Linked DNA regions of Rattus norvegicus. The protein of the gene in region 1 interacts with the protein of each later gene in a pairwise test. Links are inferred from orthologs where the notes say so. Each region holds a gene or a part of one and is shown in the gene's direction. Other genes may lie near its edges.

Region 1 (3,650 bases):
GCACCAACAAAACCTTTGTTATGAGTAATGTTTAGGGTTTGGCTTTGTTTTTTTTAACTTTATGTCTGTGACGATTTGCCTGTGGGTCTATGTGTGGACTGTGTGCTTACTTGGTACCTGTGGAAGTCAGAAGGAGGTTTTTGGATCCCCTGGAACTGGAGATTAGATGGTTGTGAGACATGATGTGAGGTTGGGAATGAAACCTGGATCTTCTGCAAGAGCAACACGTGCGCTTAACCACTGAGCCATCTTGTCAGCACCACCAAAAAACTTCTTAACCACTCTGAGCTTGTGTTTCTTCCTCTGTAACACAAAGGAGTTTGCATTACATCTGTGTGGTTCTTTAACAGCTCAAGATCTCTGTGTATAGTCTCTATCACCCTAAATAAGCCGTCTTATCTAAGCGGACCAGATAACTTGTGTTTCCGTTGCTCTCTTACTGTCTTTGCTGCTTGCTTTTGCATTTAATCCTTTCCCCCATTGATTTATGTGGAGGCAGGTCCGCATAGCTGAGGATGACGTTGAATGCATGGTCCGCAGCGTCTGCTGAGATTACAGATGTGCACCACAGTTGTGCTGAGGGCTGCTCACCCCTGTACTTGACACAGAATTACCTTGTCCCTGGTATAGCCTGGTGTTTCACCTGCTGAGCCTACCGACCTTATTATAACTTCCCTGAGGGGACTCTGTTTATGCATCCACAGAACACAGCACGTGTCAAGTAAATATCTGTAGATTTAGCTTCCATTTCCATCACAGGAAACAGGAACTGGCTGAAAACGGAAGGGGTGAGGGCGCTTTAGCCGAGGTGGAGGTGGGGGGCGAGGAGGACATTTTAAGTGACCTGAGGTAGGATTGTACTTGAGGTAAATGTGCACTTGCCGGAGCTCAGCCTCTAGTCCTCTCGCCATCCCATGACTCTGCTTTCTCTGTTTATCATAGTTGGCATCCTCTTCTATAAGCTGCCGCCATGACCCTGACGAAAGGCTCCTTCACCTACTCCAGTGGAGAGGAATACCGCGGCGAGTGGAAAGAGGGTGAGAAGCTGCCCTGGGGCAGCCAACTCCAGGGCGCCATTCAGTCCCCACTGCGGGACTCAGCTCCACGTAGAACCTTTCCTTTATGTCAGGGCTCAATGAAGGAACTAGAAATGAATCCAGTCTTCCCACTCCTTCATGTATAGTGCTTGGACACAGTCTGTTGTCTTAAATATGAGGTGCCCAGAAGAGCCAATTAAATTCTTTTGGGTGCAGTTTAGAGAGTTCAGGATTCGAGAATTAGTGAAAACCCTCAAAAACAAGTGACACTCCTTCCCTGACTCCTGTGACAGCTTTTGACAGCGGAAGTGATCCTAAATTCTTAGGAAGAACAAAACGCTTTGGAGCCGTGACTTTGCTGAAACGGCAGCACAAGCACTTTAATGGCTCAGTTTGGAAAGAAAAGCTGGCCACCTTAAGGTCTCTCAGTGTTCAGTCCCAGCAAGCCACGAAACTGACCCAAGGACGAAGGCCTTTCCACACTAAAGAGGGGCGAAGGGCAGCTTTTCGTGGGTAAGGCTGTGGGAAAGTGTGGGCTGCTAAGCCAGTGAGAACAGGACCCGGAAGCTCCCCCATTCCAACCTGGTGCCTGTCCTTCTCTTTGCTCAGGCCGGAGACATGGTTTTGGTCAACTGATGTTTGCTGATGGTGGCACCTACCTGGGTCACTTTGAGAATGGGCTTTTTAATGGCTTTGGGGTACTGACCTTCTCAGATGGGTCAAGGTAAGTATTAAGTCACTCCTCCGTCGTTGAACTAGCAAGACTCTGATACAAGTATGAGCCCTGGTGGTTGTCTGTCCAACCCTGAGCTTGCCCAGGCACTAAAGGAAACAGAAAAGGGATGAGCAGTTCTTTTCTTGATTCCTTTTCTTTTGAAACTAAGCTTTATTTATTTCTCTGTGTTCTTTATTTGTGAAGGATGTGCCACAGTGCTTGTGAGGAGTGAGTTCTCCCCTTCCGCCATGAGGGTCCCCAGGATTTAACTCAGTCATCAAGTGTGGGGACAGGTTTCTTTTGTCTACTAAGCCATCTTGCCTGCCTTTGTTATTTTAAAATAAATGTCAGAGCCAGGCACTGTGGTGAATGTTTGTAGTCCTAGCACTGGAGAGGCAGAGTAGAGAGTATCCTGAATTTCAGGTCATGCTGGTCTAGGTGGCACTGGTAGAGTTATGAGATGAGCTCCACCACAGAGCTCACCTTGACTGACAGACACACGGACGACTGCTCGCCTCAGTTACCCCACACAGCCAACGTACCCACTGAAGGCTAACTAACCTCTTGGTCTCTCTGCAGGTATGAGGGGGAGTTTTCCCAGGGCAAGTTCAATGGTGTCGGAGTCTTCATTCGATATGACAACATGACCTTTGAGGGGGAATTTAAAAATGGGAGAGTGGATGGCTTTGGTAAGTTTCGGCTCAGCAGAATGGAACATAGGTGGAATGCTCCTGTGTCTTAACTCTCCGGTGGCTCTCTCCAGCAATCTGCAGTGCCCATGCCTGAAACTCTCTCCTCCTCTCCAGTCTCTGCGTGTCAGGCTGACCCGTCCTCCCCTCTGTCCTCCTCACAGGCTTGCTGACTTTCCCAGACGGTTCTCATGGACTACCCCGCAATGAAGGCCTGTTTGAGAACAACAAACTTCTGCGCCGTGAGAAGTGCTCCGCCGTGGTTCAGCGGGCTCAGAGCGCCTCCAAGTCAGCCAGGAACCTCACTGCCTGACGGAGCTCTGGGTGCAGTCGGAAAGTATCTGTAAAGCAGTGGTGTCCCTTGTGTGCGTGCGAGGTGAACAAATGAACCGGAAGTGAGATGAGAATGACCCTGATGTCACAGCCTGAGAGGTGCTCTGTCCCCTGCCAGGCAGGAGTTCAGTGGCAGGCAAGAGTGGAGGGTTTTGGCCCCAGGACCCTACGGCGGTTATGTCCTCCCTGGCCCTGATGCGCTCAAGCACAGGGCCTGCCCCTCTGCCATGTCATTCCCAGGACCTTGGGTTTCCCAGTGCTGTGGCCTTCTCTCCATCTGCTGTCAAGCCACAGGGAGCCTCTTCTTTCCACCCAGATAATCCCAGTCCTGTGTGCTGCCATTGAAGAAGTCAGAGAAAGACAGGAGTGACATAAATCACAGCAGCTCTGTGAAGCCCAGGCCAGAGCTCTTCTGGGTGTTACCCACTCATTCACTGCATTTGGAGGCCTGGCTCTGGGCTGGTCTCTGTGTCTTCTTATCCCTCCTCAGTGTAAGAGTGTGGTTTTCTTCTCCCTCGGCTTTACCTGACTCCTCCTTACCTGAGTTACAGCAGACAGCCCAATCCCCCTCTGTGCCTCTCTCCTCCCTTAGATGTCAGACAGGATCCCTTTATAGAAAGCCATGTAAGAAACTAGTGTGAAGGAAACGTATGGCCCACATTTGTTACTCACTCCGGGGCAGAGGGCAACCCTATCCGGGCATCTGTGAAATGATCTGGAATCGCACTGAGAGAGCATTCCTTCCCAGTGTACCATGATCACACTCATTGTCCCTTGCGTGTTCAAAGATTTGGATCCATCCTAGTGTGAGCTCCATTTGACTCATGACTCTAGAAGCAAGAGTCTTGGCTCTCAGGCCTGGGACAGATCTTCCTG
Region 2 (3,650 bases), on another chromosome or scaffold:
TATACCCTGGCAGTTCATTTCATTAGTCATACCTGGCTATGGACTAGGGACCTTGGTAACCAGGCTAAATGGAATGTTCTTTTCTTTCTCTGCACCTAGAAACTTCCATCATAGGTAAATTTTTTATGTCAGTGTTTAGGATAAAGGAGGCATATGCTTCTTTTATATATATACACTGATAAAGGAGGCATATGCTTCTTTTATATATATACACTGATAAAGGAGGCATATGCTTCTTTTATATATATACACTGAGAGAGTGGGGAAAGAGGAAGCATTTTTGGTTCCCTATCATCCAGCTCTATACACTTGCAAATGTGTACTTGGTCCTAAGGGAAGATTTGCCAGGCCAGGAACTACCCAGAGTAAACCTAACCCCAACTATGAGGATAAATCAAAGGTCACATAGTCTCTCCTTGGTTGTGGGGGGTGGGGTAGAAAGAAGACAGACGATGCTAGTAAAGGAATACTGTGGTCAAAAGTGCTCAAAGAATAGTCCAGGGTCATTAACTTTGTTTGTGACAGGGTCTCTCTACATAGCCCTGACTGTCCCGGAACTCACTATGTAGGTCAGCCTGGCCTCAAACACAGATATCTGCCTCCCAAGTACTAGGAGGAAGGGTAGGCACCACCATGTCCAGCCTCTCATTAGCTGTTGACTTAAAGACCAGGCTGGTCTCAAACTGGAGATTTAACAGAGGCTGATCTTATCCTTCTTATCTGCCCCCACCACCTGAGTGCTGGGGTTATAGATGTGTGTGCTACCTTGCTCCGTTTCTTCAATGCTGGGGATCAGACACGGCTTCAACTCTAGTAAGCAAACACTGTACTGGCTGAGCTACATCTCCAGCTTAGCTACTGTAGCCTTTTGGTTCCTAGTATTTCTTATTCCCTTGGGGTGGGATGGGGAGCCAAATACAATCCAAATCCACAGAGATTAAAAGTGGTTTTAGTGCCTAGCCCAGCTGTGGCTTCCTATCACACTCCTGCTTATGCCCATGTCACCAACATCTCTCGATTTCCTGAGGGTGATGTCTTCTCCAAAGACTCCTTGATTCGAGGCAGTGGTTTGGTGTCCTCTAGTGTCCCAGGAATAACCTCCCCAAACCTTTACCAAAAGGCCACCATAACCCTGGCCCCATTTATCGGCCAAGTTTAAAATTCTAGTGGTTGGATTTATTAGCGTCACACAGCCAACATGTTAGTTAAGCAAACAAATGCCTGGTCTGTTTGAAATTTAAGAAGAGTAATTTGCAGCTCAAGTTCATTCCTCGGTAGACAAAAAAACTTTTTAAAAAATACAAAGTGGTTTCCCTGAAAGGTCATCTAGGCTGGGAGAAGCCAAAAGTAGGTTCAGTCTCCCTTGTGGGAGACTAAAATATGACATCTGTGAATTGAGCACTATTTGGGGAGAACCTGCGGCTGGAGGATGAGAGGAGTGGGTATTTATTTGACGATTGGTATTTATTTACATGTTCTACTTAGGAAACACAGAAAAGCTGAAGAAAAAATGAAAACTGTATATAAAAGGCTACCAGTCATAGATAAGTATTAATAGCCCTCTACGGTCTCCTTCTAGGGATAATTATAGCCCTCTATCTGTATGGATAGCATTTCTTTCTCTGCCTCTAAAAGCAGTATGTGCTCAAGGTAAAGATTCAAGTAACAGAAAAAAACCTGTGAAGACAAAAATGGAAATTAGCCCAATTCTCTAGTATTGTGAGCTCTCTGCTGCCGGCATGTCGCTGCTTTCCTTTTTCACATAATTGACACTTGATATTGTGCGTACTTCTGTGCAGCTCTTCACTTCTGTGAACTATGATGCACAATGGCTGCATAGTCATCGCTTGATGTCTTTTGCCTTTCAGGGGAGACAGGTTTGGGCAAGTCCACCCTCATGGATACCCTGTTCAACACCAAGTTTGAAGGGGAGCCAACGACTCACACACAGCCAGGTGTTCAGCTCCGGTCCAGTACCTACGACCTCCAGGAGAGCAATGTGGGGTTGAAGCTCACAATTGTGAGCACTGTAGGCTTTGGGGACCAGATCAACAAGGAGGACAGGTAACAAAAGAAGTGAAATGGGAAAGTGGATGGAGGAACCATGAAAAGGAACTTACCATGGGAGTCTTGGAGAGAACACAGGTTGTGGGGCCCACTAGAGTGATATGGGCAGGCAACTTGTAAAAAGGGCATCATCGTGGGGTCCTTCTCTATAACTGTGCCACTTCATATACTTTGCCAAAAGGAGGGTGTCTTTGTAATACACGTGAGTGGATTCTTGATTCCGTTCATCCTTGTGCCAGGTCCTCCTGTACTCTAACAACCTACGAAGGATTGGCTTTATCGTTGCTCTTGACACACTCACGGGAAAGGTTTTGCTTAAGCAAATAATTTCCATAGAGACCAGTATGTTCTGTGAAGGACTGGGTACAAAGAGATGAAGGGCAGATTGCAATGAGACCACAAGGGCAAGAACAGTCAATTCCATGCAGAGAAGAAAGCGGAGAGGCCTTCCCAGGAGAGACTCTATGCTAACTCCTGAAGGACTGGCCAGACAGACAGGTGATGAGAGAGAAAGGCAATCCAGGAAGCTGCCCACTTCTTCAAAGGCAAAGTGAAGGAAAGAACTCAGGTGTGGTCTAGAGAACCGCAGTGTGGCATGTTTAGATAGAGAGGCAGGCTTCTTGGGAAAGCAGTGAACTTTAATCTTTGGGGTTCCCATGTATAGCCATGTAACTAGCTTTTAGTTATAAGATAGTCTTATTCTAGGGTTGTTCAGTGACTTGTGTAAGCATAAGGCCCCATTAAACCTAGAATGTTCTCTGGGCTAAAAATAAAGGGAGGGAGACAAATGGAGGTCAGCTCCTGGAAGGTTATAGAATATACAAATATGGAACCATTCCGAAGTTCTAGGAAGCAGAATGCTGCCTGATTAGCCTTTGGGATAAATCCTATGGGCTAGTGTGTAGATACACTGGGTAAGCAAGACCAATCAGGAAACTATTAGACCAATGAAATTGAGGCAAAAGATACATAGGAGCTGAGATAGGGAGACGGAGATGGAGTCCATAAATATTGAGTAAAACTGACAAATCCTAGTAAAGATTTCATAGGGGTTTGTGAAGGCAGTATATAGAACAGAAATTCAGAAATCTGAATTTCTGGCTTTGGGGAGTAACACAATTATGATGGTCCCCCTTGAGAGATATAGAAGAACTAGACTTTAAAATACCAGAAACAAAGCATTCAGATTTTGAGCTATGTATAGAATATTCACATGCAGGATAACATCAGCAATAGGTAGTTGACCATACAGAGTCACAAGTCCAGAGAAGGTCTAGGCACAGGCAGATGATACGTTCCAACCACATACATACGTAAGATCATCCGGCAATCAGAGCAAGAAGGATGCTGTGTTAAACACAGGAACCACAGGGTGTCCGTAAGGTCAGCAGATGGAGGAAAGGATTGTAGAAAAGGACTAAGAAAGTCTAAGCAGGGGCTGGAGAGATGGCTCAGTGGTTAAGAGCGCTGACTGCTCTTCCAGAGGTCATGAGTTCAATTCCCAGCAACCACATGGTGGCTCACAACCACCTGTAATGAGATCTGGTGCCCTCTTCTGGTCTGCAGTCACATATGCAGACAGA
Region 3 (3,650 bases), on another chromosome or scaffold:
CAACAGGATTTAGCCAAAATGAGGGTGCATGGTTTCCTGGCCATGTGCGGATGCTGCCTGGTGTCTGTGTTACTGATGGGATGGATTCTCCTTCTCACCACAGTCTGTATGCTTTTTATTTAAATGCTAATAATTTTATGTGCACTGGTATTTTGCCTGCGTGTATGTCTGTGTGACAGATTTTAGAGTTACAGACAACTGGGAGCTGCCATGGGGGGTGCAGGGATTTGAAGCACTGAGCCATCTCTCTAGCCCTGCCCGTTCCTTCTTTTATTTATTTTTTATTTTTTTATTTTTTATTTTTTTCTTTATTAACTTGAGTATTTCTTATTTACATTTCGATTGTTATTCCCCTTCCTGGTTTCCGGGCCAACATCCTCCTAACCCCTCCCCCTCCCCTTCCATATGGGTGTTCCCCTCCCCATCCTCCCCCCAGTACCGCCCTCCCCCCAACAATCATGTTCACTGGGGGTTCAGTCTTAGCACTGCCTGTTCCTTCTTTACCCTCTGCAGGTTCATGGAGTTTGAGGCTGAGGAGGAAACACAGATACAGAATGCACAGTTGATGAATGGCTCCCCGGGTCTGTCCCCTATAGCTCCTTTGAAACTTGATCCTCCAGGGCCCATGGTCCCTGAGTCTTGCCAGCAGCCAGGTAAGGCTACTCACAAAGCAGATGAGGATTAGGAAAGGCCCTATTTTTGCTGCGGTCTTTCCTGGAAGTGGCACTGCATAAGCCAAACAATGCCCCACAGGGAACTGGGGTCTTGGCTCCTTTTGTTTGGATTAGCCACGACCTTGGCCACGTACACTAACTACTCTCTCACCTAGGTGGTGCATGAGCCCTATGTTTTATCAGCCTAAGACATGGGGTTGATCAGGTGGTTTCTTGGAATGTCAAAGTGTGTGGATTTAGCCTTTAGAAAGATTTCTAACAGTGTTCTTTCTCATACCCTCCAACTTTTATGTTTTCTCCCCCAAAAGCTTGATCCTATTCTGGAACCATTTCCTGAACCCAAATTTCTTCTCTTCCAAGTATCACTGGGAAGTAGATACCAAAGCATCTTTCCCACTCTCTATCCCTGCCCTCAGTGTACATTCCAAAGAAGGCAGCCTCTAAGACACGGGCTCCCCGTCGGCGGCAACGCAAACCCCAAAGGCCTCCAGTTCCTGAGGCACCCAAAGAGATCCCACCTGAAGCCGTGCAAGAATATATTGACATCATGGACGGGTTGATGGGGAACAATGTGGACACTGGGAAGACAGAGGAGGAAGAGGGGCAGCAGGAAGATGCAGGGATGTATCCCGATCCAAGTCTTCTGAGCTACATTGATGAACTATGTTCTCAGGAGGTCTTTGTCTCCAAGGTGAGCTAGGTCTACATGGCTAATTTCTAATAAATATTTAGGGACTCAGCACTAGGGGGCATCAGCTCTCTGGGGTTCTGCATATGGCAGAAGCCTCCATTCTACAATCTGGAAATAGGTATACATGTGGCTGATGGTAAGGACCACCACCAATTTCTATAGCACACACCAGGGTGAAAGTGGAAGCATGGGTCTCATAGCTTTGTCTCTAGAGCAACTGGGTTTACAAAGTACTTCTCAGTGAGATTTACACCACTCTCTGTTCCCCAGGTGGAGGCGGTCATTCACCCTCAATTTCTGGCAGATCTGCTGTCCCCAGAAGAGCAGAGAGATCCTTTGGCTTTAATTGAGGAGCTAGAGCAAGAAGAAGGACTTACTCTTGCCCAGGTAAAGTTGGGAGGCAGAGAACGCCGGGCAAAGGAGCTTGGCTGATTTTGTATAACCCTTTGGTATCCTCAGAGTGTTTTTAGAGGATTTAGGGTTGGGCTCTGGGTCATATGAGGGCACAGAAATCAGCATTTGAATAACACAAGGACAATCTTCACACAGTGCACGGAAGTGTTATGCCTTCAGTCTAGAACAAGTAGGTAGGGGATTATGTGAACAGTTTACAGATGAGGAGAGGCTCACAGCAGAGGCAGGAAGCTCTAAAACAGAAAGAGCTACAGTATCTATCTTTGATACCCTCACTTAAAACACTTGCTTTTCTCCCCACACTATCTACCATCTCCTATCACCCACTCAGCCACCTCTTCTAACCATGTATAGAACTGGCATTTGTCCATTCCCTTCCAGCTGGTCCAAAAACGACTCCTGGCCCTGGAGGAGGAAGACGCACAGGCGCCTCCGAGTTGCAGCGGAGCTCAGTCAGACTCGAGTCCTTCTGTTTCTGATGAGGATGAAGATGGGGGTCAAAGGCGTCGACCCTCGCCTGGGCTTCAGGGGGCTGCGGGTATTGTTCGCATTGGAAAATCTGCTTCTCCAGGCAAGCAGGCAAGGGAAATGCATGGTGGGCAGGAACAAACACTAGGTGGTCCAAGGGGGGTTCACAAGGATGGAAATAGTCTGCCATCCCCTAGCAGCTGGGACCTGCAGCTAGAGCACACAGCTTCCCAGGGAATGCAAGTACCCTTGGGTATGGAGAGAAAAGGCTCTGGGAAGGCTATAAAACAGCTACCTGCAACTCAGGATGGCCACCCAGGAGGTACAGGGTCATCTGGGCACTACCCAGTAGCAGACAGGAATCCAGAGGTTATACCTTTTTGTTGGCAAGAGGATCTCCAACACGTGAGAGCCTCCAATTTGGATGTTGGACATATAGAGCCAGTTCCTCTGCAGGGACTTGGGTTAGAAAAACAGGCTTTGGTGTTGCAGATAGGACAGCAGATTGGGGGAGCTGGGATGCTTACTAAAGGAAGAGAACAACCTTCAGTGGTTCCCCAGAAGGGCTCTTCAAGAGCCATGTGGGGAGATGACAGAGGTCCTGATGTGGTTCAGAGTTACGGTCAGAACCATTCCCCTGGAGCAGCTGGCAACCTAGACGTGGTTTCTCTCACCCCAGGACTGTGGCTGAGCAGTGACATGGAGGCTGTAGGCTTAGAGTTTCCCTTACAAATCGAAAATGTTACAGAAAGCATCCGGGATGAAGCATTTAAAAGGGAGGACCAGGCCCCAGGTTCTAGAAACAGTGCCTCTCCAGGTACTAGGAAAAACAAAGTGCCCAAGGATGTGGGAAAGAGCATGATTCCCTGTGGAGGCACAGATAAAACAACTGTCCCAGAAATGAGAAAGTCCTGCAGCTTGCCGGGACCTTTGATGGCCAGTGGTCCAGGTTTGAGGTCCAAAGAAAAGCAAGAGCGGAGCCCTGAAGCCACACAGAATCCCAGTGACCTGTGGGCTGAGGCTTGCTCCCCACTGCTGCAAACACCTGACCCTTCCACACTGGGGTCCTCCAAAGACACCCTGGTACCCACGTGCCAAGGCACTCTTCTCATTGTTGGGACCCAGGATGCCTCCTCTTTCCCCGAGGCTAGCCAAAAGGCAGACAGCAGGGGTAATCTACTTTTTCCTCTGTTGGAAAACATAGAACAGGTCAAATTACTAGATGTTAGAAATGACAGTGGCCCCCAACCAGGGGTCTGCAAGGACTCCTGCTCATCAAATTTTAATTCTTTTAACCCCCAAGGAGAGTGCAGGGAAGACACTGTTTCCTCCAAACCCACTGACCTTGTTCCTTTACAAGGCAACCGGGAGTCTTATACACATGAGACAACCAAATCGACATC

The links.
Region 2: the proteins of Morn4 (region 1) and Septin6 interact in binary tests that used the Homo sapiens proteins (3 or more experiments, as listed by UniProt). The two-hybrid records come from large-scale screens. The link is inferred for Rattus norvegicus from reciprocal best matches to the Homo sapiens genes MORN4 and SEPTIN6.
Region 3: the proteins of Morn4 (region 1) and Nutm1 interact in binary tests that used the Homo sapiens proteins (3 or more experiments, as listed by UniProt). The two-hybrid records come from large-scale screens. The link is inferred for Rattus norvegicus from reciprocal best matches to the Homo sapiens genes MORN4 and NUTM1.

What each region holds. Positions count from the first base shown.
Region 1 is NC_086019.1:250,837,836-250,841,485, reverse strand, and holds part of Morn4 (MORN repeat-containing protein 4), read left to right. Parts: intron 1-942; 5' UTR 943-970; coding exon 971-1,037; intron 1,038-1,646; coding exon 1,647-1,761; intron 1,762-2,331; coding exon 2,332-2,441; intron 2,442-2,605; coding exon 2,606-2,754; 3' UTR 2,755-3,650. UniProt on the Homo sapiens protein: Plays a role in promoting axonal degeneration following neuronal injury by toxic insult or trauma.
Region 2 is NC_086039.1:121,068,280-121,071,929, reverse strand, and holds part of Septin6 (septin-6), read left to right. Parts: intron 1-1,868; coding exon 1,869-2,064; intron 2,065-3,650. UniProt on the Homo sapiens protein: Filament-forming cytoskeletal GTPase. Required for normal organization of the actin cytoskeleton. Involved in cytokinesis. May play a role in HCV RNA replication.
Region 3 is NC_086021.1:119,508,613-119,512,262, reverse strand, and holds part of Nutm1 (NUT family member 1), read left to right. Parts: intron 1-513; coding exon 514-653; intron 654-1,090; coding exon 1,091-1,365; intron 1,366-1,635; coding exon 1,636-1,752; intron 1,753-2,160; coding exon 2,161-3,650. UniProt on the Homo sapiens protein: Plays a role in the regulation of proliferation. Regulates TERT expression by modulating SP1 binding to TERT promoter binding sites.